Drosophila melanogaster: one gene and its partners. Changing the gene in region 1 together with any one later gene gives a genetic interaction. Each region holds a gene or a part of one and is shown in the gene's direction. Other genes may lie near its edges.

Region 1 (6,003 bases):
GAGTAAAGCTGTTTTTATCGCACAACCACCACACACAGATAATATGGCTGCTTCAATGAGGGCGCTGCTGAAAGTGCGAGGTGCGTATTCTCCACATCGGTTGCCTAACACGCCCGATAGCCTAACAGCATAATAAATTATATAACTTCAATGGATTTACGGCACCAAAAGAACAAATATCCAAGCAATTAGGGAGCACCTGTCGTTCCGACGCATCTGCTGATTAGTCGGCCTCCATTCGGATTAATAAGCGGCTCAATTTGCGAATCCGCAGATACGTGGCTTTGAAATGATTAAAGAGGGGGAGTGCGGGGGTTGTGTTCAAGGTTCGCTTGCATGTGACCCAGCGTACAAACAACCGTTTTTTTTCGGCAACAAGTACAGTGGAACACCGCTTTGGTGACCATCACTTTTTAACTTTTCTCGTAGTGGATATACGTGTATACTTTTAATTTAATAGTTCAAACAAATAATTGCTGCAAGCATTTGCCTTCGTCAAAAAGTTATTTAATTCTAATTTAGTTTGGGATATTTTTTCCAAGCTCCGATCTATATTTATGAATATTTGCCCTTAGGGCATTTGGCATGAATTACTTTTTTGAGTTCTGAAAGCATGGATAAACTTAGTATCGTTCTAAAAGTCAAACTGGTCAGACCTACCTGGCAAACCATTTACTTTACGAAAGCAGACTTCGGTCTTCAGGAAGCTGGCAGTAAGGAAGGTATAGTGGCAATCCGCTGTTATTCCGCACCATGGATCTGCTTTCACCGTAGCTGAATTGGGGGGTTCAAGAACTTTTGGCATTCTTCAACAGTTAGGACACCATTGACTTCTATCATTGTTACAACTGTCACAGGGATGAAACCATACCATGTTTATAGGTATATTCCCATTAAATCTTAGGTAACTCACTGAGTATAAGGATATATCCGAAAATCTTCATGGTGAGATTGAGATTGAATGTTTCGCAAGTGTTGCAGGGTTTTACAAAGATTAGCTGCTAATTACCGAAACATGTCGTATTTAAGGCGATTAAAGCAACAGGTGTGGAATTTCTTAACAAATGTCAAGGCCACAAAAGGCGGTGTTTCTAAACTTTAGATTACATAGATTTTTAAAATGGTAAAAATGAAGAGTTAAATCTTTATTGAAAGTGATCAAGGATATAAAATGCCTTATAATATAAAAAAGTTATTTTCCTTATCTAGTTTTCCTGCATCTGGGTTTACCCCGGGGACACCTTCCGGCCTTGATTTTCAGAAATACTGGACATGTAAATAAGGTTAGGCGAACTGAATACGATAATTGAATTGAACCTACGAGGCTTTCCCAGTTCAGTCAGTTTGCACTGCTCTTGTCCAACGTGCAAAAGACTCAAGCCTTGGAAGTTACAGGTAGCGGCAAACGCGCAGAATGGACTTCCAGCTTTTATAAATCCTTCACAGACACTCTTTCCATTCGCAGTCTCGAATATATTCATAACTGCAGTGGTTGAATAGTTCAGAACGTATGTATTTACTCGCAGTTTCTTGCGTAGAAACTCACTCAGAAATAATAAGAAGCTCAAAGCTTTCATAATCGCACGCAGATTGAGTAGTTTACATATAATTTAATGCTTTAAAATGCTTCTCAGAAGAATTATAGAATATAGGTATTTATAATGCCTTTAATTGAAACATATATGCATGGAAATATTGGAACAATATTACTATTTTAACGAGCAACGCGGTTTACCATGGAGACATTTTCCGGGAATTAGTTCGATGAATCCTAAACGAATCGATTAAGTTTTCTGAAACACAAAAGGTGTCAACAATTACCCACCTGGTTTTCCGTTTTCTTTGCGTTCACACGACACCCTTTTGAGGTAACTTGGATTTGGACCATCTAAGTTACAATCGGGAAGTATTCCGCAGTGAGGATCAAGATTTAGATAAATTGCTTGGTTGCATTTGCTCATAGCATGCACACTTGAAATGACTAAAGGGGATGTAAAAGTAAAACAATTTCGGTTAGCAACATAAGCTCCAAAAAAACTCACACAGAATAAAAACGATGATAGCTTTCATCTTGCAAAGCGACTGATATTCTTAAAGAAAATACTCAACTTAAATAGATCTATATATGGCATGAGTTCTGGAACATATTCCATTCGATCTAGAAAATCAATTATGTGTACTTGGAAAATGGGCAAGAAATATAGGAATTTAATAAATAATAAACCTTTCTCGAACGTTACGCAAATGAAATTATCATGTAACTATGTAAGTTTACACTTGCAGGCTGGTTTATTAATATCCAAAATACTAAATTTCCAACTTTAGTCCTAAAATGATTCATTCTTACATTTTTCAGATGGCTTCGTGGCCGGAGTGCGCTGCAATTCGCAGTACAACAAGACGCGCGGCAACTTGAAGCTGAACGGCGATTCGCGGGTGATCTGCCAGGGATTCACCGGCAAACAGGGCACGTTCCACAGCCAACAGGCTCTGGAGTACGGCACCAAGTTGGTCGGCGGCATTTCCCCCAAGAAGGGAGGCACCCAGCATCTGGGACTGCCCGTCTTCGCTTCGGTGGCGGAGGCCAAGAAGGCCACCGATCCACATGCCACCGTCATCTATGTGCCACCACCGGGCGCTGCGGCCGCCATCATCGAGGCTCTGGAAGCGGAGATCCCCCTGATCGTTTGCATTACGGAGGGTGTGCCGCAGCACGACATGGTGAAGGTGAAGCACGCCCTCATCAGCCAGAGCAAGTCGCGATTGGTGGGTCCCAACTGCCCGGGAATCATCGCCCCCGAACAGGTTCGTACATCTCCAGCGCTTGAGAGATAAGCTTGGCCAGAGGGCAAAGTCCACGTTCATCTGGTGGTTTTCTTATCTCTTGGTATGACGCTCGCTTTGAACTACATATATCTGTTTACTATTCCGTTTTCAATTTGCTTATTGTTAATGTATAAACAGGCCTCCATTGACACACCCTTAAATTTGGGCATTGAACTTTGCACCTGAAGTTGGTGGAATTTGCGGACGATACGTTTTTTATTACCATTTATAACGCTTATCTTTCTATGCGTCACAAAACTTAGTGATTACCCACTTCACTCCACTTTCAGTTAAGTCAATTGTATAATCTTAAACTATGTTTTTTCTGATTGCAGTGCAAGATCGGCATCATGCCGGGTCACATTCACAAGCGCGGCAAGATCGGCGTGGTCTCGCGCTCGGGAACCTTGACCTACGAGGCCGTGCACCAGACCACGGAGGTGGGTCTGGGCCAGACCCTGTGCGTGGGCATTGGAGGCGATCCGTTCAACGGAACCGACTTCATCGACTGCCTGGAGGTCTTCCTCAAGGATCCCGAGACCAAGGGCATCATCCTGATCGGCGAGATCGGAGGCGTTGCCGAGGAGAAGGCTGCCGACTACCTGACCGAGTACAATTCGGTATGAGAAGCCATCACGGATCAATGTATTTCATTGCTAAATGTTTTTGTATCCTATTGCAGGGCATCAAGGCCAAGCCTGTCGTCTCGTTCATTGCCGGAGTGTCGGCGCCACCCGGCCGTCGCATGGGTCACGCTGGAGCCATCATTTCCGGAGGAAAGGGAGGTGCCAACGACAAGATCGCCGCCCTGGAGAAGGCCGGCGTCATTGTGACCAGGAGTCCTGCCAAAATGGGCCACGAGCTCTTCAAGGAGATGAAGCGTCTGGAGTTAGTGTAAATAATTAAAGGCCATAACCAAACCGGAATCCGTACGCCGATCAAAGCGTATACGCAAACTCATGATGATGAACCTAACGTTAAGCTAAAAGTGTCGAAAATCGAAATTGCATTCGAGCGAACCCAAATAAATTATTGTGAAAAATTACTAGAGAGAAACGAGAGGCGTTGAATTGTGACATGTATTCCAAGAATTAAGTTAACTACTGCCGTACCACCAAGTTGAACTAAAATAACTCGCACCAAAACCAAGATTTCTAATTGTTATTGCACTCGGCTCATTGTTTGTGTTGCGAACAGATTTTTGCCTTAATTTTAAATGCCTGCTCGAATTATCAATGCGAATTGTATCTGAATGTGTAATAAATATGCATAAAAACAGGATAGATGTGGTGAATTTTCGTGGTTTTAGCTATACAAGCCATATCCTTTGAAAATATGAATTTTCAGGTCAATTTATTTAATCTAAACTAAAATTCTTTGGAGAAGAATTAACAAAACAATAATTTATGAAAAGCAATGCTTACCATATTAAAAAAAGATTTAAGGAAATTTAAAAAAATGTAGTTTTCTACTTTCGATATTTAATGGGATCGACTTGCAAACATCAAGAGCACACATCGATAGAGCGGAAGTTTCGATTAACTCGTGAAATATCTGGCAACATTAATATCGAACTGCCATCGCTTTTTGTGCCAGCTCTAATAAACATATATATGTTTTAGGGCCGCGATTGAAAATGCGTGCCACAAAGGCCTAAACAAACTTGGAAAACACCGCGAAAAACGTCAGAAGCTATAGTGCCGATTCGCATATTGTTCGCCACCCCGGAAAAGTGTGAAAATCGCAGATAATCAAAAGGGAGAGCAACCAAAGGAAAAGCAACAACAACGACTCGCCATGGGCAGCAGAACTGAAAATGGTGAGTTTCTAAGAAAATGTCCCTAAATTTCGTTAGCACTGTCCCTTTTCTCGCAAAGCGTGTTGGAAATGATGTGAACATAATAATATTAGTGCGCTTATTATTACTATTGCAACATTTTCGGTTTTTGCAGCCGCCGGTTGCGGTTGCATTTTAAAGTGCACTACATACGCACACACACACATGTGCACATACAAATTTATCACCTCGCATGTATGTATGTATGTGACGGAGTAGTGCATGCCTTTTAGTAGGGCTGCCGGGAAGGCCCCGTTATCTGATTCCGGGTATGTCTAATTGGAGTTGTTAGTTGGAATTTTCGTTCGCCGAGGAACTTTATTGAAAAAAAGTTGTAGCATGGCTAATACCAGGAGTTCATGGCCTTGACGCTCGCAATACATAGTGCTGCATTGAAAATAATAAATTATGGGATTGTTGGTAGCAGATTGGTAGCTTAATTGCTCACATAATTCTTCGATTTAATATTATGCCAATGCTTCCGTACTTTTAATATAATATATATTCAATATCCTACTTTAAAAAAATATTATTATGAAACGAGAAATATAGCTAGAAGTATTATTCTTTATTATTCTTTAGTTTTAAGTTTTTAAAATGTTGATCCGAAATATCAGGTTGAGTTAAAAGTAATGTAAATGTAAAATATATTTTACAAACAGCACGTCATTATTACTTCGGATATGAAAAACCACTTAAGGATGCGTCCTATCTATATATTATGTAGATTTTTGTGTATAAGCTTTAGGATAAATAGTTTTGAAAACTGTTGCTGCTGCTGCAGATCGATTACAAAACGCCGAAAAATGTGCGTTCCAGTTCGCTAGGAACCCTCAACTTCTGGTGACATATCGCATTCTTGCAAACATTTTTGTAAGTTTTCTTCCTCTTCGCGTTTGCTCGATTTATAGAGAATGCTTTTGTTTGTGTTTAAAATAGATTCGAAATGGCTCTTTGGCCTGCGTCCGCCATTGTCGGCGTTTTCGAGTGGGTTTTATTGAAAATCTATTTTGCGAATTATCCGACCAGCCCGGCTATATCCCCCCTCCCTCCACTTCCCTGGGCCTTTCTCACATTTGTCTCCAATTCTCTTACATCGCTGGCGTCGCAATAATGTCGTCAGTTTTTTGTTTATTCGCTCTCCCAAACACCGAAACACGCAAAAAATAGTTCTTATTTTTGTTAAATCCACACAAATTTTCTTGAGTGAAAGTGAAGATTTTATCTTATTAGTGATTGTAGCTTCTATCAAAAAGTGTGAGTTTAGGAAAGTTTGGGTTTTGAATATCTGGACTCATTGGTCTTTCAATGCAAGTGTCCACTGTACTTTATAATACAAT
Region 2 (10,822 bases), 6.7 Mb from region 1:
AATCGTACAATCGAAATACGCCAATGCAGTTGTATTCATTAATTATTAGCCATAAACTTTTTGTCAAATGAAAACCAATTGCTGAATGTCATTTATCTCAGGGAAAACTTTTAAACAGAAATTATTGTATTTATCGCCCGCACACGCACACAGATTGTCGCTATCTCTGCCTGGCAGTTTATTGTTACCATAATTTAAAGCGATTTAATCTGCTCGACTTCTCCTGGCTCCGATATCTCGTTCACAATGGAAACCAATTAAGTTCTGTCACATCATTTTAATGAAATTAAAATAAAATCAGTACGAATAAATAGGCTCAGGATGGATGGGTGGAAACCGCAGGCTTTGCTTTTTGTCTCAAGGCTGATTTTTTCTGTTTTTTTTTTTGCAACGACGACAGTTTTAAAATTCAGGGCATGTCCGCCGGCGTCTGACAGGCCCACTCAACCACACTGAGCCACCCACAACCTCCCACAACCACCCACAGCCACCCACTGACTGACTGACTGACTGACTACATGAACAAGGTGCTGCCTGTTTTTGCTTGCGGCTTCAGCTGCTGCATGAATCCTTAAGTGACTATGAACCCAAAATAAAAAAAAGTAAGAAAAATGCTGAAAAAGAGATAAATAAAATGAACAACAATATAAAGCGGCTAACAGATATAGATGCCGGCTGAAACTAGACAAAACGCTTAGTCTACTCAATTCTCTGGAAAATTGCAGAGCAGGGGCGTGCCACCGCCCATATCTTGTTTGCTTTCACCACTGTGTGAAGGTCGTGGGCGTGGTGATGTCGAGCTGCTAGAAAAAATTGCCAACTAAGTGTTGAGCATAATAATGAGAATGGCAAATGGAAAACAGACGCATCAACAGACGCGGCTAGTAAAATACAACATAAATCAAAAAATACACTTTGAGATCTTTTTTTTCACAATGTCCTTGGTCCTTGTAACATTTTTTGAGCGGATTCTGAATTAACCTTTTCATAAAATAGATTGCATTAAAGTGTGTTAATATATATATATCTTCTTAATACCTTTTTAACCCATTACTTATACTTATGTATATCCTGTACTGTGTTAAAGAAATCGCATGTATGTGTCTGCTTCCTCAGTTTATCCTCGTCCAACTTTTACTTTTCGCCAGCCGTCTGTTTGTTTTAAATAAATTATGCCTGACTACGAGCTTTATTTAACTTCATCATGTTAACGAGTCGGCTTACTATGGAAAGCCACTCTTCTTTATGCGACACACATTTGAATTGCATATTCTAGTGCGTTAACCGAAATGCAAATACATTTCCTGTACTTCGTCCCCAGGCAATTAGTCGGTCACTTTGGTGCAATTGGCTAAATTACAAGCGGCTCAATTTAATTTTTGCCGGCTTGATACTCTCTCTTATTTGTGTGTGTGCAAAACTCTCGGCCACAGGAAGTCATTGTCATTTTGGTTTTTTTTTGCGTCTGCATGGCAGTCAAGCGAATTAGCATAAATTATTGCCCTTGCCGTTGGGGAATTTTCCTCGCTTTGAGGCCCAAAAGTAAATTTAACATTGTCAAAGGACTTTAAAATATATGTACGGAAGTCTATTTAAATTAACAGAAATTTATTGAAATGAATGGTCGTTTTCGTAAGTTTTTAAAGTTTTAAATTACACAGAAGTTATTTCAATGTATTTTAAGTAATTTAATACTATTATTATTTTAGATTTCAGCTTTAGTAGTTGAAATTAATGTGACACGGCAATGCCAAAGTCGTAAATTCCTGTCGTTAACTTAAGCTTCGCGATTATCTCTGATCTGCGCTAATTTCGCAGCAATAATCGCGGCAATTAAATTTACGACCATTTTCGCAGACGGACAAAACGCTCATGAAATCTCGTAAATTGTTTTACCCCATTTCTAATCCAAAAGCACAGCCCATCACGAAGCCATAAAATAGGGCGTAGCACACTTTTTCATAAGCTTAAATCAAAATATATGCATAAACTAAAGGAGGTATAAGAAAGTCAGCCATCTGCACAGCTGCCATTAAATATTACGCATACGCCATGTTAACACTTTATAAACGCATTAGCGTCCTTCCAACATCTTGAATATGGCCAAATATTGTGTATTTTAGTGTGTGTCCCATTTCCCACATTAAAATACAATTTTCAAGCTGTGGGACAGCAAAATTGGAAACAAAAATATGAACGAAAAAGGTAGAAAACAAATTCAGACTGGCAAAATATTTATGAGCCAAGAAGGATAAGAACTGCCCTGACCATTGTTAGCCATAAATCATGCGATTATTGGGCGAAAACACGTGGCCAGATAAACATAATATACAGAGTGGTTCGCAACTATAAGGTTGGATAAAAATATTTTTAAAGACAGTTCATTGAAAGGATTTATCATATTGAATTAATTTAGTTCCATTGAAGTATGTGAAATATAATGAAGTATAATCTGCCATTCAATAATTTATTATTATAATAACACATTTTCTGAGAACTTTAGTTTCGAAACGGACTGTATTTAAGTGGCACAGAGACCTTATAAATGGCTGTGCCACGCCCATACGGCGCAGGACATTAAACTCAATGAGTTGAAATTATTTGCAGCTCTGAAGGTCAACTTAATGCGGACTGAATAAATGGCTGGGGGGAGTTTGGGGGGGTAAAAACTGCCTGAAGTTGGGGATCCATGGTTCAATGGGCTTGTGGGTGTGGCTGCTCGTTCGCCATTAAAGACAACTTCCGCTAACAATAAATTTTGCTTACCCTGAAATGGTTTGGAGGATGCGAAAAGCTTAAGCGCTATTTTTTATACCGAAAAATATATATATTTTAGCAGTTCGTTTTCTTTTTTAAACCACCCAGCGAGTTGGTGTCGATTAAACTGTTGTATATTTTAGTGCTCTTGTTAAGAGAGCTCAGTGGTTTTTGGGTTTTATTTTATTTAAGTCTTATTTTTAGGTGCGGCTAAGTGTGCACGGCTGCGTTAATTTGTATGGATTATTTATGGTGGCCGCTGGCAGCAAATGAGGCCACAAAGGAAGTGAAGCTGGCAAAACTCTAGTACGCGGGAAAACCCGGATGAGCTGCAAGTTTTCCGAAAGTTTGCAACCTCACAAGTGCCACATAAAATTTATGGCTCTATTTTGAAAGTTGGCAGAGCATCGACAATGTTTCAGCTCGTACACACACACTTAATATGCCTAACTGTACAAAATCAATTAACAAGAAATGGAGCCACAAGTTCGACTAGTTCGTATTGATATCAGTTTGATTTTCATCATTGACAGACGATGTTGCTAGTTCTTGTCGTGTTGCAATTTATAAGTTTTACTTATGGCAGTGAGAAGAATAACCAAACCTATTCAGAATGCGAGGCTATGACTGCAAAAGACGAGCCAAATTTTGCCATTGTTTTTCAATGTCTTGTTGCAAACTATAATTTAAATGCAACTCTATTGGATATTATGATAAAGATGGATCAATTTCAACAAATTTTAAATCAAATTTCTAACGAACAGGAATATAAACAATCACCTTTTAAAAAAATTGATGACATTTTAGAAATACCTAGTGATTTATCCGGTAAAGATTGCCAATACAGACGACAAATAATGCAAGCCATACGCAGAAAACTGGAATGGTATAATGTTATGGACGATACGGAGTCTACACTTTTCGATTACGATGATGCCATAAAGCCAGAGATTTCTGAATCAGCACCGGAAAATGCGGTTTCAAAAATCGAACTGAGAACCGATTATAAAATGGTTTTAAAAGAGATCCGTTGCCTGCTGGCAAAATCCATACGAAATACAGGTAATAAATTAAGCTTTTAACCTCTTGTTGGCCCAATTGATTGCGACAATTAAGAAGGCACAAAAGGGTGACAGGTGCGAAAATTGTTCAGAAGGTCGGCGTTACTGACTGAATTTAAATTGTAAATAAATATGTGAGCATCTCTCGCCACAATAGCACGCAATCAACAAGCCTCACACGAAACTGTACAGCAAAGGTGATTGGTACACAGCGAAAAAAAAAACAAGTTTTTTATACTAACTATAAATTGCATTAATTTTTAAGAGCTAAAAAAGATGTTTATTTTTTACAGAACCGACCGTTGATGCAATAGAAAGCAATTAATTTGAAAACTGGAATAGGTTTCCCCTTAAAATGTGACTATTTTCGTATGTATTTTGAAGTTACAACTTATAAATAAATTTATGCTAAAATATTTTCTCCGTTTATTACCTAAATATTGTACATAAATATAGCATACAGCTAGTTTAAAAATAGAATTTATTTATGTAATTTAAAACAGTGCTTGAAGAACCTGCTGTGCTGGCATAAAAAAGTATGGTCACACGTGTGCGAAGCCCCCCCCCCCCTTGGCTTTTCGCCCAGCAGTTTGGCCTCGTTTTTAAATTGAAATCTCTGCAGCCAACACTGGACATTGCCTTCATTTCCCCGCGGACAGAGAAAGGGAGAGTTGTCCCTGCATTTCTCCCGTCCTTGCGGTGCTTTAAATAATTGCTTAGAAGCCGACGAGCAGACTCAGTGGTAACAATAATAACCGCCCAAGCACTCCGACTATGATAATAATAGCAAATAGAACCTGCCGCAGATGGAAATGCCACTCGGACAGACGCCGCTCCCCTTTCTCTTACTTTTCCACATAAGCCTTTGGCTTATGACCACACCCCCCCACTGCAAATGCATTTCACTTACTCTACACACACACACACACTCGTATAGTAGAGAAAGTAAGGGCCAGTGAGAGTTTGTGTGTTTATGCTCACTTTTAATGTGCCATATAAAATAATTTAATGACCGGCCAGAGACGAGGGTGTCTCCTGGTAATGAGAAAAGCGATTGGACAAAAACGGGTGGCTGTAAATGATAATAGTGGCATATTATGATGCAGATAGTCATGACAAATGGCTACGTCGAACTTTAATTGGTAAGCGGACTTGGACTGGATCGCCATATAGAAAAGCAATTATATCTGTAATTATAAACTTATCTATTTGCCATTAAGAATGGATTACAATGTTTGAATGCCATTTGTAAAGCCATAATATCTACAAAGTATAAGTAAACAAATTTACAAAAATGACTACAAAAAAAAAGTCTTAAAAAGTACTCAATACAATTTTCATGTAAATCAACCCTTTTCCATTTTCTCTTTCTCTCCTGCTGAATTTTAAATTGTTATTTTTAAATATTTTCGTTGGGCTTTTTCTTCGAGCTTAATCTGCGGAAAATTTTCCATCGGTTGCCTTAAGTCAACCCTAATTAGGTTATTCTTGGCAATCCCTTGCTCAATCCCCTTTTAAAGCGGCCTTAAAAAACGGAATTAATTTTCCGAAATTTATATTTTTCTTTTGATTTCTTTAGATTTTTGGTTTTGCTTTCGTTCTTCGTTCCCGATTTTCGTCCTTCCACTTTACTGTCCTGGTCATTTTCTACAAAATAGTTGCGCTTTATTTCCAGGCAACTTCGTCGCTCAAGTGACAGCTGTCCTCACCTCCACTTCCGCTAGAATGTCAATAAAAATTCAATTACGTTTTCCGCCAAAGAAAAGTTGCTGCTGAAAATACGTTTTCCTTATAGCCTTCTGTTTCCATTTAAAATTGCCTCTCTTTGTCGAACGGAATTTGTTTGCCAGCCTGATCGATTTGTGATGCTGGGCCGTGGAAATGTGGAAATCAGAGACTTGGGCACTTATACTTAATGGCCTAATTATGTAACCAAACGCCCACACACAAATAGGCTGAGTAAATAATCATAATAATCAGCATTTTGGCGGGGGAAAGAAGAAACCATAAACTTCTCGGGGTTCAAATAAAAATAAATTGTGCGACTAGGCTTGGGCAATTTGGCGGAAATGGTTTTCTGCCTTGAACACATATGTTTATAAGATTTATTCTGTTTTTCTGCTTATTTTTTGTGGTTAAATAGTTGGCCAAGTTTATGCTGATGATGCCGTAGGTCGTTGTGCATTAAACCAAATTTAATGTTACCTTTTATCAGGTGGCATTAAAGAGCTCTTTCACCAAAAATATACATTTTTCTCATCCCTCAAGTAAGCATCAAACTGTTATACTGACTGTAGTGTTATACGGCAAAGGCTGCTGCATACTTACAGGCTCTTTTGCGCAAAATTTCAGTCTCCCATTGCAAGTGCTCACGTGAGGACGGAAAACATTTTGCTCATCGCTTTCGCCTCGCGCATTGGCAAGTCGCGTAAAATTCTCGTGTTAACAGGAAAAACGTCACAAATTTTTCAAAACCACCCCAAGTCCCATTACCCGCAGTGGGAAAAACCTCAAATTCCTTGGGCTATCCGTATCAATCAACGACTAAAGGCTTAGTGTCCCTTTGTGATTGTGTGTGCTTTTTGTGTGTGCACTGTGTATTTCGTTGTGCTGCCGGCTTCAATTAGCAGCTTTTCCTCATTCTGCCCGCTGCTCTTGTGTGCGTTAGATTAATGAGGCAAAAGTGTTTTGTCGTGTCGTGCGTTAAATATTTAATACAATATCAAATAAATGTTGCATAAGCCGCCTGTCATTTAGCATCTAGTGCCAAAAGCAAAAAAAAAAAGAAAACACAAAAACGTGTGTTTGTTTCGTGTGTTTACCACAAGTAATTCGGACAGCAAACGGATTCTTTTTTCACGATTCACAAGAGCACGTCGATCAAGTAAGCCTTAGCTATTAAATATCACAGAAATAAAAATGTATCCCATTTAGCACATTAAGTTACCCATTTGAACAGCTTTTATTGGACTAGTCTTCCGCTGAGATATCTTGAGAATTTGCCCATTTCCCAAACGCATTTAAAACATTTTTATTGCCCATTTTTGCTTTATGTCCCGCATTAAAACATCTCCCGCTACGTAAAGATAATTTTGATTTGATATTCGTGTAATTTTTCCATTTGTTATTTGCCCGACTTCCATTGTTGATGGTCTGGCAGGGAATTTCGATTTGCGTTTACCCTTCATTTATTTTCAGCTGGAGATGCAAATAATGGTAGAAATGCCCGCAAAAATACTTTTACAGCAACAGGACTCCGGGGCCGATTTTCATTTCAAATTGCTCACATTAAGGGGCCACCCCCCCCCCCACCGGGCATCACAATCTCCCCCCTTTTATGGCACTCACATACCCTGTATCTGTGCATATATCCCCTTATTACCCAGCGCAGAGTACGAAATTAATTGTAACCAAACGTTTTGCTGCTTGCCGCAAACTTACTTTTATACTAGTTCATTTGCCACGCCCCTATCCCCCACGGAATGGACGCACAAAGACAACTAAAAGGGTATACACGCACAGCAACACTGAGAGAAATGGGTTCTGCATCGATAGTTATAGTTTTTAAGCCAAAATGTATGCTTATATTTTCTATTGCTTAATTTAAGACTTCTTTTTAGTGACTTTGAGCCTTTACTTTAAATAACTTTAAACTTTACTTTAAATAACAAAATCGAAGTTGTGACAACAGTTTTTCCTGCGTGAGCTTATACAAACACGTGCATGTACATGTGGAGCAAGAGGTAGCTAGCATCCCAACTAAGTAAATAATGCGTAAAACAAGTCAAGCGTTTTACAAACTCACCCATTTCGCCATCCCGTTTCCCCGTTAAACAAAGGGGGTTTCCACTGCAAAACGGGGAGTTTCCCCCATTTAGAAACAGCAGAAACAGTCAATTGTAAAATTGCTGCAGCCAACAAAGCGTGGCAAGGAAGCTAAGCGAGTGGCTCAGACTGTTTCCATAGGTAGTTGTTGCCCGATGTTGATGACGGCTAGGATTGCCGGATTCCCGGCACAAGAATCTCCACCGTATGTAATTCATTATTATGCTGACTGAGGCTGGAAGGCACTGACGGTAGAAGCCAGAAGCAGGAAAAAATATTTGCGCACATGTGGCTAGAGTTTCCATCACTTCAGCGTGCTGCTGTTATTCTTGTTAAGGCTAAAATTGTCTGTCACTTTGAGACTTCCGTCATCTGCAGGATAAAAGCTGTGGGCGAAAATATGCGAGCGAAAAATGAGACTCCACATTTTGGTTGTATGCTAAATACTTCACGGTCCACGGTCCTGTTTATGCAACAAGGATGTCTTTGAAAATATCAACGTTGGTTCGCAAAAAAGGATACCTATTGTATATATCGGGCTTAGAAAAATAGGGGATTTTAATACTAAAAAGTTTTAAAAAACTTAAAACTTTCGTGACATGTGAAGATGGCTCTCATTTATCAACGCTACAAAAGTAGCTCAAAATGGCCCTTTTGAAAATATAAGGACATGAAAACGATCAAATATACCACCTGTGTCGCAGTCAAAATGTAACAACAATTGAGAACAATAAACAAATGGCACACAAAATCAAAGTTTGGTTCGCTTATCTTTGTTTGACTTCTCTTCACTTTGACCCACCAAAAAGTTTTTATTTTTTTATAATGTCCTCGAAAAATGAGCGCCATAAATCATGGGGCGTAAATATGCCACCCCCATTTATCTCGTCTAACAAAGGGAAAACTTGCACCGTAAATTTGTATAAGCAGCAATTACTTAAAAAACTCCGAACCTTGACTTGTTTAGCCAACCAATGAAAAACTCTATTGTCAACTACAATATTTTTCCACAGCTCCATTTGCAGTTATTTACATGAGCAGATCCACATTTTTGGGTGGCAGATGGGTGCTGTGCCTGATATTTTTTTTTATGCTTACTTGCGACATCGCATTTTTGCACAAGACTTCTAAACTATATTTCGGACAATATGCAACATGATATTTTTCATGCTTATTCAACAGAAAAAAAATGAGAAGAGATTGCACATACGTTCCTCACAGAATTTCAATAAAATAGAGTAGGAATTTATGTGCACGATATGTTTCCGAGATTCTATGAGCATGTAATTTGTGGGTATTTCTGTCACAGTTTATATGTACAAAAATGTGCATTGCAGTATGCAGAGATCTAATGCTTTCCTTTTTTTTATTACTCAACTCATTTTGAAACTAGCCTTTTTAAATGAAATTGCCAAGCAGTATATACTTATATTATTGAATATTGATTTATTTAATTATTATTTGAAATGAAAAGTATTTTATTCCTTCCATTTTGTAACCCCTTTTCATATCCTTGCAAATAATTTGTCTTATTATGCTCCCCACTTTCGGGCATCATCCATCTTAATCGCTTTGACTTCTTTGGGTGGTTTTTCCTCTCATTTTTCTTCTTTTCCCTTTTCTAATAAGCCTAATGGCAACGCTGTAACCATTATTTCAAAGAAAAGCGTATAAATATAATTTATTCCACATAAACTTGATTAAATGCTTCTCTTTTCCACTTTCCCCCTTGCATTAGCATACGAAAAGTGGAAATGGAAAAATCCTACTTAAGTTCTTTCCTTCTGAAAAACAGTAAACTTTCCGCACACGCAGACCACATGGAAAAAAAAAAGCCAAAAACAGAAAAGAAATAAACTCCTTTTCTGATGATGATGGCCTGGTTGAAATCCGCTTAGCGAAGGATACTTACATCCTGGCAGCTGCCACCTGCTGCTAGTCCTTCCATTTTGAACCATCTATCTATCAGGCAGTTCGTCGAAAGCCCCATTCAATCAGATATATCATCAATCATGCCCAGCATATTTCCAGCGATGCCGAAACGAATGACAACAAATATTTTTTAACCAGCACATCGTAAATGTCGCATTCAAATTGCACAGAGAAAATCGGCAAATCGATGTGAAAAATCCGCAAAATTTCAATCATTGGGTTGAATACGATTTCCACGAGAGATGAATTGCTTTTCATTTTGCTCGAAATTGGGGTTAACAAACTCATTAGATCTCTTGGCATCATTATGCAAGCAGAGATACAGGCTCACTAGGGCAGATAGTAGATACAAAAAAAAGTAGTTAGTTAGTTAACTAAAACCAGAAAATAGTAATTTATTGTATTATGAAAAACAAAAGAAAGAAAACCTTATAAGATGAAGCTATCGATTTGTAATATAATTTTAAAATGTTAGGATTTTTAAACATTCTGTTTAATTGGTATGATACACTATAGATCGATTGCTATATTTGTTAAATTATCGAATTTTTAATTTTACCAACCATTGAATAACATATTTTTTGGATTTATTTTGTCGAGTGCATAGATACGCACCCATTAAGTATGCGCCGTGTGGTTCCACTTCCGCGTATCAATGCCGCCACAATGACGCTGTAGCTGCTGCTGCTTATGCTGCTGCTCCATTTAGCGTGAAAACATTTAAGCCAACAAAAGCAGATCTCAAACGCACCCACACAAGCGCCTCAAAGTGGCATACACCATGTATAAGATATTTTTACTGAAAAAAAAGAACTGCGGTGATGGTGAAGGTCAGGCCGTTGTTACGTTTTTTGGCCTAAACCCCATGGCCTTTTGCTCGTTGTTCTTGTTGCTTCGCATGTAGTTAAATTGTTTTTGCCACTGCCATTGCCCATTGCATCCGCCCTTTCATCTTACATCTCTTTGGCTCTCTTCGATCATGCGCACTTTGACCTTGCTCGTAGCACAGTTTTTGGTGATGCTGTCTTGGACCTTAGTTGGCCGTATAACAGTTTAACAGTTGCAGACTTTTGGGCGCTATTGGACTGCTTTTCTGCATTTTCTTTACTTCCTTTTGTTTTCATAACTTGTGTGGCCACAGGACACAGTAAAAATAAATTTTGTTCAATTTTTTTTTCCTTTTTTTTTTGATTTAGGTATTTGCGCGTCAAATCGCCAATGGCGCCAAATGTTGAAAATGCAGCGCA
Region 3 (10,822 bases), on another chromosome or scaffold:
GACTGGACAAATCGTCGGCGAGGGCCGAGAAGAGCTTTGTGGAGCGGGCCCTGCCATTGGGGCGTCTATACCTCCAGCGCATCTACTGAGGATCGCCGCCTGGAGTGGCTCTACTTGACATATTTAACCCTTTTATTGTACATACGGACACCATGGGGCCTAGTGGCCTGCAAAGCAGCGAATATCCAACCATTCAAGTGAGCAGAATGGCGGCAGATTGTTAGGTTTAAGTAGCCAGAAGAAAGGGGAAGAAGATTCCATTATCATTTCCATAGACTGCATAGAACGACCTTTGAATTTATCAACTTTACGAACGTAATCATTAACTAACTAATGTATGATTAGCAGATTAGCAAAGCTGGGCTCCCCAAATGCAATAACGAAATGTTTCCATTATCTGGCAATCCATATTGCTTAGTTATACTTCTAATTTATACGTACTGAGCTAAGTGCACTGAAAACAAAATCAACCATTGTCCCCCACATTTGAAAATCATCGAATAAGTCGCAACATAAACGAAGGAGAAATTATTTAACTTGTTTTATCCCATCATGATTTTATTTAATTTGTAATTTATTTCATAACGAATGCAAATGATTTTGAGAAATGGTTTAATGCAATGGCCAACTGTGTAGTCCTCTTTGAATTGAAAAGCTTTTAAGTTTAGACTGAATATGGCAAAGTTTTAATTTAAAGCAATTTACTCCTACTTTAACCATAATTTATATACAATTTAAACTAATTTTACTTTGACATTGAGTCTTGATAATTATCGTTGGATTTTCCTAGAAAGGAAAATCAAAAGCTCGAGTGAATTTCAAAGCTGACGAGCGGAGAAAAGTGTCAAAATGAAAACGCAGTCATTCTTTAGTTAGTACGTACGAGTATAATAAATAATTAATTACCTATATGAACATAATTTATTTAGGCGATGATCGTGCACACTATCACTCACACACATACCACACAGAATTTTTGAGATAATTAAAATATATTATGAAAATACTTTAACTAGCGTAAATTTAGATTGAAGCTCATTTAACAATGTATGAAGTACGAAATAAAAATGAGGTAATTCTAAACACACAAGATAAAAGTTTTAAGTGGTTCATATCATATTTGGGAATATTTATTACCACAAATGATGCAAAAATCAGGGCCCTATAAAATACCCTACGATCATCGGACCCACCCAGATGTTATGCAAGCAGCCCCTCTGTACCTGCGGGCATGCCACGCCCCCTCCACGTACAACTCATTACACATGCAAGTGCATGTGGCGGCAATTACCAGAAATTAAATAAACAAACCGAAGCCCAGCAAAAAGCAACAAAATACAAAATACAAAAAAAAATAAATAAAAGTCCGAGGAAAACAATCACGACGACAACTGTTGCATCACGACCGCAGCACAAAAGTTGCCGGCGGGGCAACCACTCGGGTTACCAGCGACTCCATCGCCATTCCCATCCCCGGGTTACGTAACAAGGTTGAGGATAGGATACCATGCCATGCGATAGCAATGTGCCGACTTTTATTGTTAATTCGTATGCGCAGCGGGATCAGCGAGGAGAAAGTCGGCGAAGATCGTTAGGAAAAAGCCACAAATCAAACCAATAAATCACTCGTTTCGATTCGAGAGTTCGTTTGCAGAGGAACCAACTGGTTTTCGGGGAGGATCACTTTCGCTTTTAATATTTTTTTCGGATTTTTTTTTCCAATTGTTTTGGGTGGTAAATAAACGCTGCGATTAAATACTTGTAATGTTTTCGTTTTATTAGTGAGAAACTTAACAATGAGGACGAAATGCAATGAGCTAACCAAGGAAGTGGTCCTACGACTTAGTTGCGACCGATCTGGTCGACCTGGGACTGCAGGTTGTTTATCACCTCGGAGGGCACCTGGTCGCCGAGGATCTCGAAGAGATTGATGCGCTGGTTGCCGGGTATCTGCTCGTACGCGCCCAGCTCGATGCCCTCCTGCACGTTCTGGATCTGGGCATCCTTGGGGATGAGAAGCGTCTGCTGCGCCTGCCGGATCGCCTCGTTCGTGTAGGCGGCACCCTCGCGATTCTGGGGCAGGGATTGGGCACCAGCCAGGAGCAGGGCGAGCATCGAACACAGCGCGAACACTTTCATTTTGTGGGTTTTCTCGAGGGGATTCAACTGCAAGAGATGCACGGATTCAGTGGCGCTCGATGCGGACTGGATTTGGTTATGGTCTTACCTTGCGCGCGTCGTTTGTTGTAATGTTTCGGCTGCGCAGGCGCAATGCCCGTTTTATAAGCTGAGCTGCGCCGCTGGAAGCCCCGAAAATCTGGAAAGCTTTAACTCTTTCATTTCGCTTCGTTTCTGGTTTTTTGTAAAGCCAAAATGGTGGCACAAAGTAGTAGTACCGAAAAAAAGTGTTATTACTTCCCAGCTTAATATCCCCATCGACCCATTAAGGTGAATACATTTTTTATTGGAAATTTTTTATTTTCTTGGGCATTTGTCCAATTTTGATGCGAAGGTTAAGCGCCACTTCAGAAATGTCAAGTGGCATTTAACCTTCCAGTGAACACTCGGCCGCAAAGTGGTCTTTCAGGTGCTATCTGGTTCATATTAATAGCCTGAACGTAAAATATTAACAATTACCAGTCTTTGAAGATTGAAGAGTCATTTACAAATTGCCGCCGCGGCTGTGCATTTTTTGGTTTCTTATTTTTCCATTTTGCGTAAGACGATCAAAAGGAAGAGAAGCAGTTAGTGGCTAAATTACAGCAAATCATCTGCGCCTGATTTGCTTGCAAAAAATATTTAATTATCAGTATTGCGAATTGGCTCGTATCTCTGTAAGATTTTTTTGTAATAAAAAAAAGGAGAAACGACAAAGCAGTGGTTATGCAATCAGCGGTTTTTCGAATTTGATGAGTAATATTTTAGAGAAACAAAATCAAAGTGATTAGAAATACCATACACTCTATTAATATCTTTTTATTTGTTAAAGTAATCGGCAAATTACACTTAAGCAAGCTATTATAATTATGCATAGTTTTAACGCACCAAAAAATTTGAATTTAAAAACTCCGCTTAGTAGTAACGGGTGATAACAAGACGATAAGGCATTTCGATAAGAGCACAGCGATAGCAATGCGATAACTCTTATTCCGGCATGCGCTTCGGCGTTTTTTAGTGTTTTTGCATGTATTTGTTGCATTTACCATCGTTCGTTTAAAAACACGCTTCTTTTCAATTTAATTTTACACAACGATCTCCCGAAGGAAGAACCTCTAGTTTAGTGGTCAACACCTTGTACCACCTGCAGGAGTTAAGTCATAACCGTAGCAAACACACGCGGGAACACCCCAATCCCAATCCAGCCAAAAAGAAACGCACGTGGGCCAGGAGATGGATGTGGATAACGGCGAGGGGCAGGTGCAGGTGCACCTGAAGACCAAGCAGGAGCAGTGAGTGTCCATCTAGAATCTCTATCAGTAGAAGATTTTAATCAAGATACCCTATTTCAGCTATGCCGTGCCTGATGTGCCCTATGCCATCGATGGCACCGTCACCACCGTGGAGCTAAACACATTCGTGAACGCACTGTTGCGTCAAAAAGATGGCTCTTCCGACACGGACTTCGACTTCCTGGTGTTCGATGAGTACCTGCGTGGCCGGCTGTGCGATCACCTGCGCGAGAAAGCCATCAGTTTCGAGGACGCCATCGAGATCGAGTATGTGGAGCGGTTCCCGGCGCCAGAGCCACAGGATTGCCTGCTGCACGACGACTGGGTGTCCGCGGTGAAGGCTAGAGGAAAGTGGATCCTCTCCGGGTGCTACGACAACACCCTGAATTTGTGGACCAACAAAGGCAAGCACATTCTCACTATTTCTGGTCACACGGCGCCCATCAAGGCGGTGGACTGGATATCGCTGGACGAGGAGACGGGACGTTTTGTGTCCACATCGCAGGATCAGACCGCCATGCTGTGGCAGTGGAACGTGGGCTCCAACTCGGTGGAATGTGTCTCCGTGTGCAAGGGCCACGAGCGAGGCGTCGACAGTGTCAGCGTGAGTCCGGATGGTCTGAGATTTGCCACGGGCTCTTGGGACACGATGTTGAAGGTGTGGTCAGCAGAGCTGGACGATGCAGTCGAGGGCAGCTCAAAGCGGATGAAAGAGAGCGGTGTGAGAGTGAGTAGTCTTGCCATTTATAATTAGACTTGTAATCAGCTTTACAATTCCTTTCAGACCCCCAAAATTACGCTGCAGGGACATCGTGAGAGCGTATCAGCCGTGCAGTGGATGGATGCTACCACTCTGCTAACTGGCAGCTGGGATCACACACTCAAGGTGTGGGATCTGAGTCTTGAGGGCATCAAGACCGAAATATCCACCAACAAGTCCATATTCGATGCGAGCTACTCAAAGCTGAATCGGCTGATACTGACTGCTTCGGCGGACAAGAATCTGCGGCTCTATGATCCTAGGACAAACCGTAAGATCTAATACTCCAATATCAACAATGGAACTTCCACCTAACCAATATAATTCGGATCTTTCAGAGGGATCAGTGGTAAGGAATACCTATCTGGGACACAATGCCTGGGTGCAGACCGTCATGTGGTCCACCACGGAGGAGTTCCTATTTGTCTCCGGCGCTTATGACAACCAGAACAAGCTGTGGGACTGCAGGAGTCCCAAGGCCCCACTGTACGATCTTCTGGGTCACGGTGAAAAGGTCCTGGACATCGACTGGTCCAATCCCAAGTACATTGTATCTGGTGGTGTCGACAACACGGTGCGCGTATTCAAATCTCGCAAGGCGCTAGCGGAAGAAGCGGAGACGAAGTAATCCCAAAACTTGTAAACTTTTTATAAATACAAAACTAGTTTAAACTTTAAAGTAAATATTGAAAGATTTTACATCTGGGGTGTTACACTTAAATTATCGAAGTGGGTGAAGCAGAGAGGTATTCAAAGTGTATTATACATGGTGTAAATATTCTTGTTTTTTATTTCATTTACGAAATAGTTAGATTTCAATACTTGAATATTATTTTTATGGTATCCGCTTCCGAGTTGCCACAGTGCTAGAAAAGGCAAAAAACGGTTGCCAGAAGCCGAACATCGATAGTTCGCTAAGGATGAGCGGACAGCGCGAGCACCTAGAGACGGACCCGGACCGATAGCTGGCTACAAACATACAAATTATCGAGTTTCTAACAAAGATAAAGTCGGCTCTGCGTCGCCTCGTAATTTGCCAACTGTAATTTAGCGAAATAACAACGATCGCGACCGTGAGCCGCCGAGGAGTTTGGAGCGCCGACACTGCCACCCACCAAGGACGCCAGCGGAACAGCCGTGCATCCACTGCGAAGGCCGTGTGCGCGAGAGTGCGAGCGAGAGGGCAGCAGGCGACACAGGGAGAATCATTTTCGCAAGTGTTGTGATAGAAAAAAGTGAAAGAAACTGCAATAGTGAGGTGTGTATAGTGCTTCACGGGCTGGTCCCAAGATAGACCCCACCTAATCAGCGTCCAAATTCCGCGAAATTGTGCAATCGAGCTGCAGGCGGCGGAGTCAGCACCGTCATCATCATCCTCCGCCGTCGGCGGCGGCATTTTGCAAATGTCTGCTGATTGATTTTTTGCGGCATCCAGCACATGCTCTCGAAACTTTGGGGGCAAATGCTTGTCCAGCTATCACCTAATCCTGTCCAGCATCCACTGGCCTGACAACGAATCCCATGCAAAACCCACTTTTTACTGTCGGGGGTTTGCCAAAATGGCCGCTGCTCAATAGAAATGCGTGCGTTTGTGCGAAAAAAAGCAAACCCCTGTCATCATAAAGGGGCACAAACTGGGTGGAAAACCAGGTCAAGGACCCTGGGGAAGCCCCGTCCAAGATTCGCGTATAATTGCCGACTCCACTGGCCATACTTTTCACATCAACTACATTCGTACGCACAAAGTGCAGGCAAGAAGGGATTTCCCTTTAAAAATAAATGTGAATCCCAAGTAGGCTTTGGCTTCATATTTCACCAGTTTTCTATGGAAATTCCCTGCTGAACATAGTGGATCGTTTACATAAACCATTATCTAACCAAACATCAAAATACTCATTTCAGTTCGAAGAAACGAGACCAAAAATGTCTTCAACCCCAGCAGCGGGCAGTGCCGCCGAGGTGGCCACCTCCAGTGCCACCTCAAATGCGCCCAGTGCACCCAGCACAACGGCCAGCAACGTGAGCAATACCAGCCAGCCGACGACTGCCGGAACTCCGCAGGCACGTGGCGGCAGGGGCAGCAACGCCAACGGTGGTGCCTCCGGGAGCAATGCCGGTGGCGGAGATGAGCCGCGAAAGGAAGCCAAAACAACGCCCAGGATATCCAGGGCGCTGGGCACCTCGGCCAAGCGCATACAGAAGGAGCTGGCTGAGATCACACTGGACCCACCGCCCAACTGCAGTGCCGGGCCCAAGGGCGACAACCTGTACGAGTGGGTATCCACCATACTGGGACCACCCGGATCCGTCTACGAGGGCGGCGTCTTCTTCCTCGACATACACTTCTCGCCGGAGTATCCCTTCAAGCCACCCAAAGTCACGTTCCGCACGCGCATCTATCACTGCAACATCAACAGCCAGGGCGTCATTTGCCTGGACATACTCAAGGACAACTGGTCGCCGGCGCTGACCATATCAAAGGTCTTGCTGTCAATTTGCTCCCTGCTCACAGACTGTAATCCAGGTGAGACTTATTTTTTTTAGACTTTGATATACAGTGTCGTGTTCTCCACTTTGATTTAACTTTTCCTAGGACTGTAGTAAATATGATCTCATGTTTATATCATGTGTCTTTACAGCCGATCCGCTGGTGGGCAGCATTGCCACGCAATATTTGCAGAATCGTGAGGAGCACGATCGAATTGCGCGTCTCTGGACAAAAAGGTGAGTTGTCGCTGGAAAAGCGAGTAAACAAACTTAGTAATCTGTGTGCTTGTCTTTTAGGTACGCAACATGATGCGTAAGTTTTGGCAACGTGCATGTACCACAAACCGAAAACTGCAACAACAGAAACGAAAATTCGCATCTTGCAACGGAGAAAGTCTATTTTATAAATATATATTAAAGTACGATAACTACTAAATTAACAGTAACAACTACCGTAACACGAAAAGCAACCGCCAACAGCCAGTCGATCCAATCCAATCTAAATTCAGTCTATATTTATATCACGTTAATACAGAAGTTGTAAAAAAAAAAAAACATTTGGAGATTTCTTGAGTTGTATTTTTCGGAAACTAGTTTTGTTTTTAATTCGCTTAGCAACCGAAAACATTGTAACGAGTCACATTCGATGAAAAACTGCATCATGAATTGCACATTGACATATTAAACTATAAACTATTCAACTGCATAATAAATATAAATACAATTAGTTTACATTATATGTGTACAGTGTTAAGTGAAAATGGAGCTAAACGAGTAAAGAGAAAAGCCTATTTTAATGCGTAATGCGTAATATTAATGCAACCAATGTCAGGGCAGTAAACTTCGTAAAAGATGATTTTCATTCAAAAAAAAAAAAAAAAACTGGCCACAGCAAGGAAAATTCTCAACAACAAAAGACTAAAAATGAAGTGGTAAACGAAAAACGAAATAAATCTATGTATACAAAACTTAAGACAACCTATTCCAAATTCCAAAACAAAATTAAATAAATTTGTGTTATTTATATATGAAATCGGATTCGGTTTGATTTTTTAATGTGATATTTTTAAGCGTTCGAAATTTGTTTTTTTGGTCAAATACTACCTTTCACTAATAATGATTTTAGACTTGAACATTAAAAAGGCTCCACCACAGCGAAATTTGTTATTTTAAAGAAAGGCAATTACGAGTATAGTGCTGATATATAAAGGAAAAGAAAAGAAAAAAAGAATATAAATAAAAACCAACTTCCTACTATTTTGTAGTTTTAATGACTAAACCAGTCATCGTCGTCACTTCATTGAAAAAAAAACTGAGAACAAGATTTCGTAACAAAGTAATTGTAAGTTTTTTTCGTAACCAAAACAAAACTGAAATCGCAAATGGAAAGGAACTTAAATAAAAAATATTATAAAATTACTTTTCGACTCATTAATCGGTCCACAGGTAAGGCGATCGCTATGTTTAAGTTTTAGTTTTATTTGATATATCTTTGTTTATATAAAATACGTTTTTCATTACACAATTAATCGTAAATATATATATCCTCACGCTTCCCCGCACGTGGAACAACACAACGAATCTTGGCTAGCCCCCGACCTAATCCGCAGGCAACCGGCTTACAGATACATGCCGTTGACCAGGAAGTCCGCCTCCTGTGAGTAGGGCGTCTTGCCGCCCAGTCGTCGTGCCCTCCGCGTCACCGTCCGCATCCTGCACCCGATAAGAATGGCCAGCGCAGCGGTGACCAGCAGGCCCAGAGTCAGCGAGAGGACCGCCCCGCCAGGTCGCTCCGAGTGACCGTCGTGATCGCGGAACTCCATCGCCAGGTTGTCATGGATCATCTTGTACTGCTCGTGGACGGGGGAAGCGGGAACCGGCAGGGCTGGAAGGGATCCCTCCGGTTGCAACTTGTTTTGCTCCAGGGCAAGTTCAATGGGATCCTTGGCCGTCTTCGTCTTGACCTTCTTGTGTTTGTGCTGCTTCTGTGGTTTTAAAATGAATGGTTAATCTTAATCTATATTCATTCATCAGATCTTACCTTTTTTGGTGCCTCCGTGTACGTTTCCTCATCGTAATCATCGTAGTCCCCATCTGCCGCTGGACCCTGATTTTTCCCAGCTACGGGTGCTGCATTTAGGACTGGCAACATGGCTTGCTGCGCAGCTGGCGGAGATTGGATGGCCGGAGCAGCGGCGGCATAGACATGACCAGATTGCTGGGGCATCAGGGACTGCGACTGCTGCACGGGCGACTGTTGCTGCGGAATTAATGGAGCCTGCTGTGGCCACACCACACTCGCTTGCACCTGCTGCTGCTGTTGGCCAGCTGGAGCCTGGAGTTGCGCCGGCTGCTGTGGCATGTAGATTCCTGTGCGTGACATCCCGTATACAGCCTGGTTGGCCTCGTAGCCGGGCAGTTGCAGCGTTGGGGATTGCCCCTGAACCTGAACCTGACCTGCTCCCGCCATCTGACCCGGAACCTGGAGTGGCGACGGCGGTGGACCCTGTCCGTTTGCGGGCTGCTGCAGCTGGAGGCCGCCTTTATGGCTAAATATGTGGCTCTGTGCGTCTGTAAGAAAGCGGAGGCGAAGGCGTCACTAGGAAGCATGAAGTGTGTGTATCCCGGTTAACGCACAGCTAATTGAATTAATTACGCGCAGACAGAGGCACTGCACGCATAGGGCACAAGCATTCGTAAATCAATTTCGAGCGACGGCAGCTCCCATTTCACACAATGAAAACTGATGGGCTATTTGCGATTTTCCCAGCAGAAAAGCCCTCCGGAACAAGGGAGCGAGTGTGTCGTGGCCAAGTGGCCATGGCAGTGGGATCATTGCGTGCACTGTGCCGGCCATTTGTGTGCTAATGTCGCACTGGAGCGCCGTAGCCTCCGGGTATCACTCCCCATTCCCTGTCCTCATAAATATTTACTCAGCTTTTAGTTTTTGTTGGGCTGGAGTGCCTGGCTAGAACTAATTGCTCCTGGACACTCAATCGAGTTTAATTAACAACTTAATGCAACTTAGTGCAGTGCTGCAGCAGCTTTACTGGGTTGTGAGGCATAAAATAAAATAAATTATATAAAAAAAATGAAGAAAAGCCCTGTATGATTGCCAATCATAAGTTTGTTAGCGTTGAAGATTCTATAGATAAGACAGATATCATCAATTGGGAACTACATCGTATACTACAGCTGCAAAAGTTTCATTTCCTAAACTTTGTTGTGTTAATAATCATTAAATCTAATCTTTGACACATCATATGCTTTTAATACATCCTATCAACTAACTTCTAATCTTAACTATATTTTCCTAGACCCCTTATCTATACTAACCCGTGTTGATGATCTCCGTCTTTGGCTGCGATGATTGTTGCTGCTGTTGCTGTTGCAGTTGCTGCTGCGGCAGCTGCTGCTGCCCTTCGGCAATCATCTTGCGGTTGGCCCAGGCAGCGGCATCTTCACGATTGTTCACCATGGGCGGTGGAGGCGGCGGTGGCGGTGGTGGTCCCAAAACAATGACATGTTGTGGTTGCTGCTGCGGCTGTTGCTGTTGCTGCTGCGGTTGCTGCTGCTGCATCTGCTGGGCCACGACCTGCTGTGTCTGTTGCACGTTCTGCACGGGCACATACTGCGACACCATCGGCTTCACGGGCTCCAAATTGCTGCTGGTAGTGGCCGGTTTTGTGGCCGTCGACAGCACGATGTTGCACTGAAAATGGGGTTAGCAATTAACGGTTGAGGGAGTGTGTGTATTTGGCTGGAGGTGAAAGTGCAACTCACTTCCGGTCCCTCGTCGCTGCCATCCTCGCACTGGGGTATTCCATCGCAGGCATTGTACACCGCGATGCACTCGCCGGAGTGGCAGGTGAACTGGAAGCGTCCACAATGCGCGGCGGGAACTGAAAAAGTGGTTACGTTAGTTTCTCGAAGGGGAACAATTTTAAATAGTAGGTAATCAATCGTAGGAATTTTTAGATAATATTTTTAGTTTAAGATTGATTTAGATTTTAAATTCAAATTGTTCTTATATATATTCTAAGCTTCAAATCGCATATACCCGTGATTTCTATAAAGTACAAGGTATCGAAAACCCGACCACAACTCACCACTTTGCGATTGGTAA

What was found.
Region 2: of enc (region 1) and Rbfox1, changing one enhances a phenotype caused by changing the other (phenotypic enhancement), as found in Drosophila melanogaster (one study listed by BioGRID).
Region 3: of enc (region 1) and Ubc2, changing one enhances a phenotype caused by changing the other (phenotypic enhancement), as found in Drosophila melanogaster (one study listed by BioGRID).

Annotation. Positions count from the first base shown.
Region 1 is NT_037436.4:3,814,276-3,820,278, forward strand, and holds the start of enc (encore), read left to right. Parts: upstream 1-4,403; 5' UTR 4,404-4,642; coding exon of another isoform or gene 4,643-4,645; intron 4,646-6,003. Other genes in the region: Scsalpha1 (Succinyl-coenzyme A synthetase alpha subunit 1), read left to right, coding at 44-80, 2,357-2,805, 3,162-3,446, 3,509-3,724; Acp63F (accessory gland protein 63F), read right to left, coding at 1,710-1,771, 1,826-1,981, 2,043-2,070. UniProt on the Drosophila melanogaster protein: Required for the regulation of germline mitosis, karyosome formation, and establishment of dorsoventral (DS) polarity of the egg and embryo. Involved in proper grk mRNA localization and translation in the oocyte.
Region 2 is NT_037436.4:10,475,244-10,486,065, forward strand, and holds the start of Rbfox1 (RNA-binding Fox protein 1), read left to right. Parts: upstream 1-6,168; 5' UTR 6,169-6,702; intron 6,703-10,822. Other genes in the region: CG46430 (uncharacterized protein), read left to right, coding at 3,294-3,819, 4,112-4,143.
Region 3 is NT_033779.5:10,762,302-10,773,123, reverse strand, and holds Ubc2 (ubiquitin conjugating enzyme 2), read left to right. Parts: upstream 1-5,184; 5' UTR 5,185-5,467; intron 5,468-6,037; exon of another isoform or gene 6,038-6,111; 5' UTR 6,112-6,132; coding exon 6,133-6,733; intron 6,734-6,848; coding exon 6,849-6,933; intron 6,934-6,993; coding exon 6,994-7,006; 3' UTR 7,007-8,114; downstream 8,115-10,822. Other genes in the region: CG31869 (uncharacterized protein), read left to right, coding at 1-89; CG17127 (uncharacterized protein), read right to left, coding at 1,843-2,139; CG6724 (uncharacterized protein), read left to right, coding at 3,391-3,449, 3,510-4,176, 4,234-4,480, 4,548-4,837; CG6495 (uncharacterized protein), read right to left, coding at 8,316-8,681, 8,738-9,267, 10,033-10,408, 10,480-10,598, 10,806-10,822. UniProt on the Drosophila melanogaster protein: Catalyzes the covalent attachment of ubiquitin to other proteins.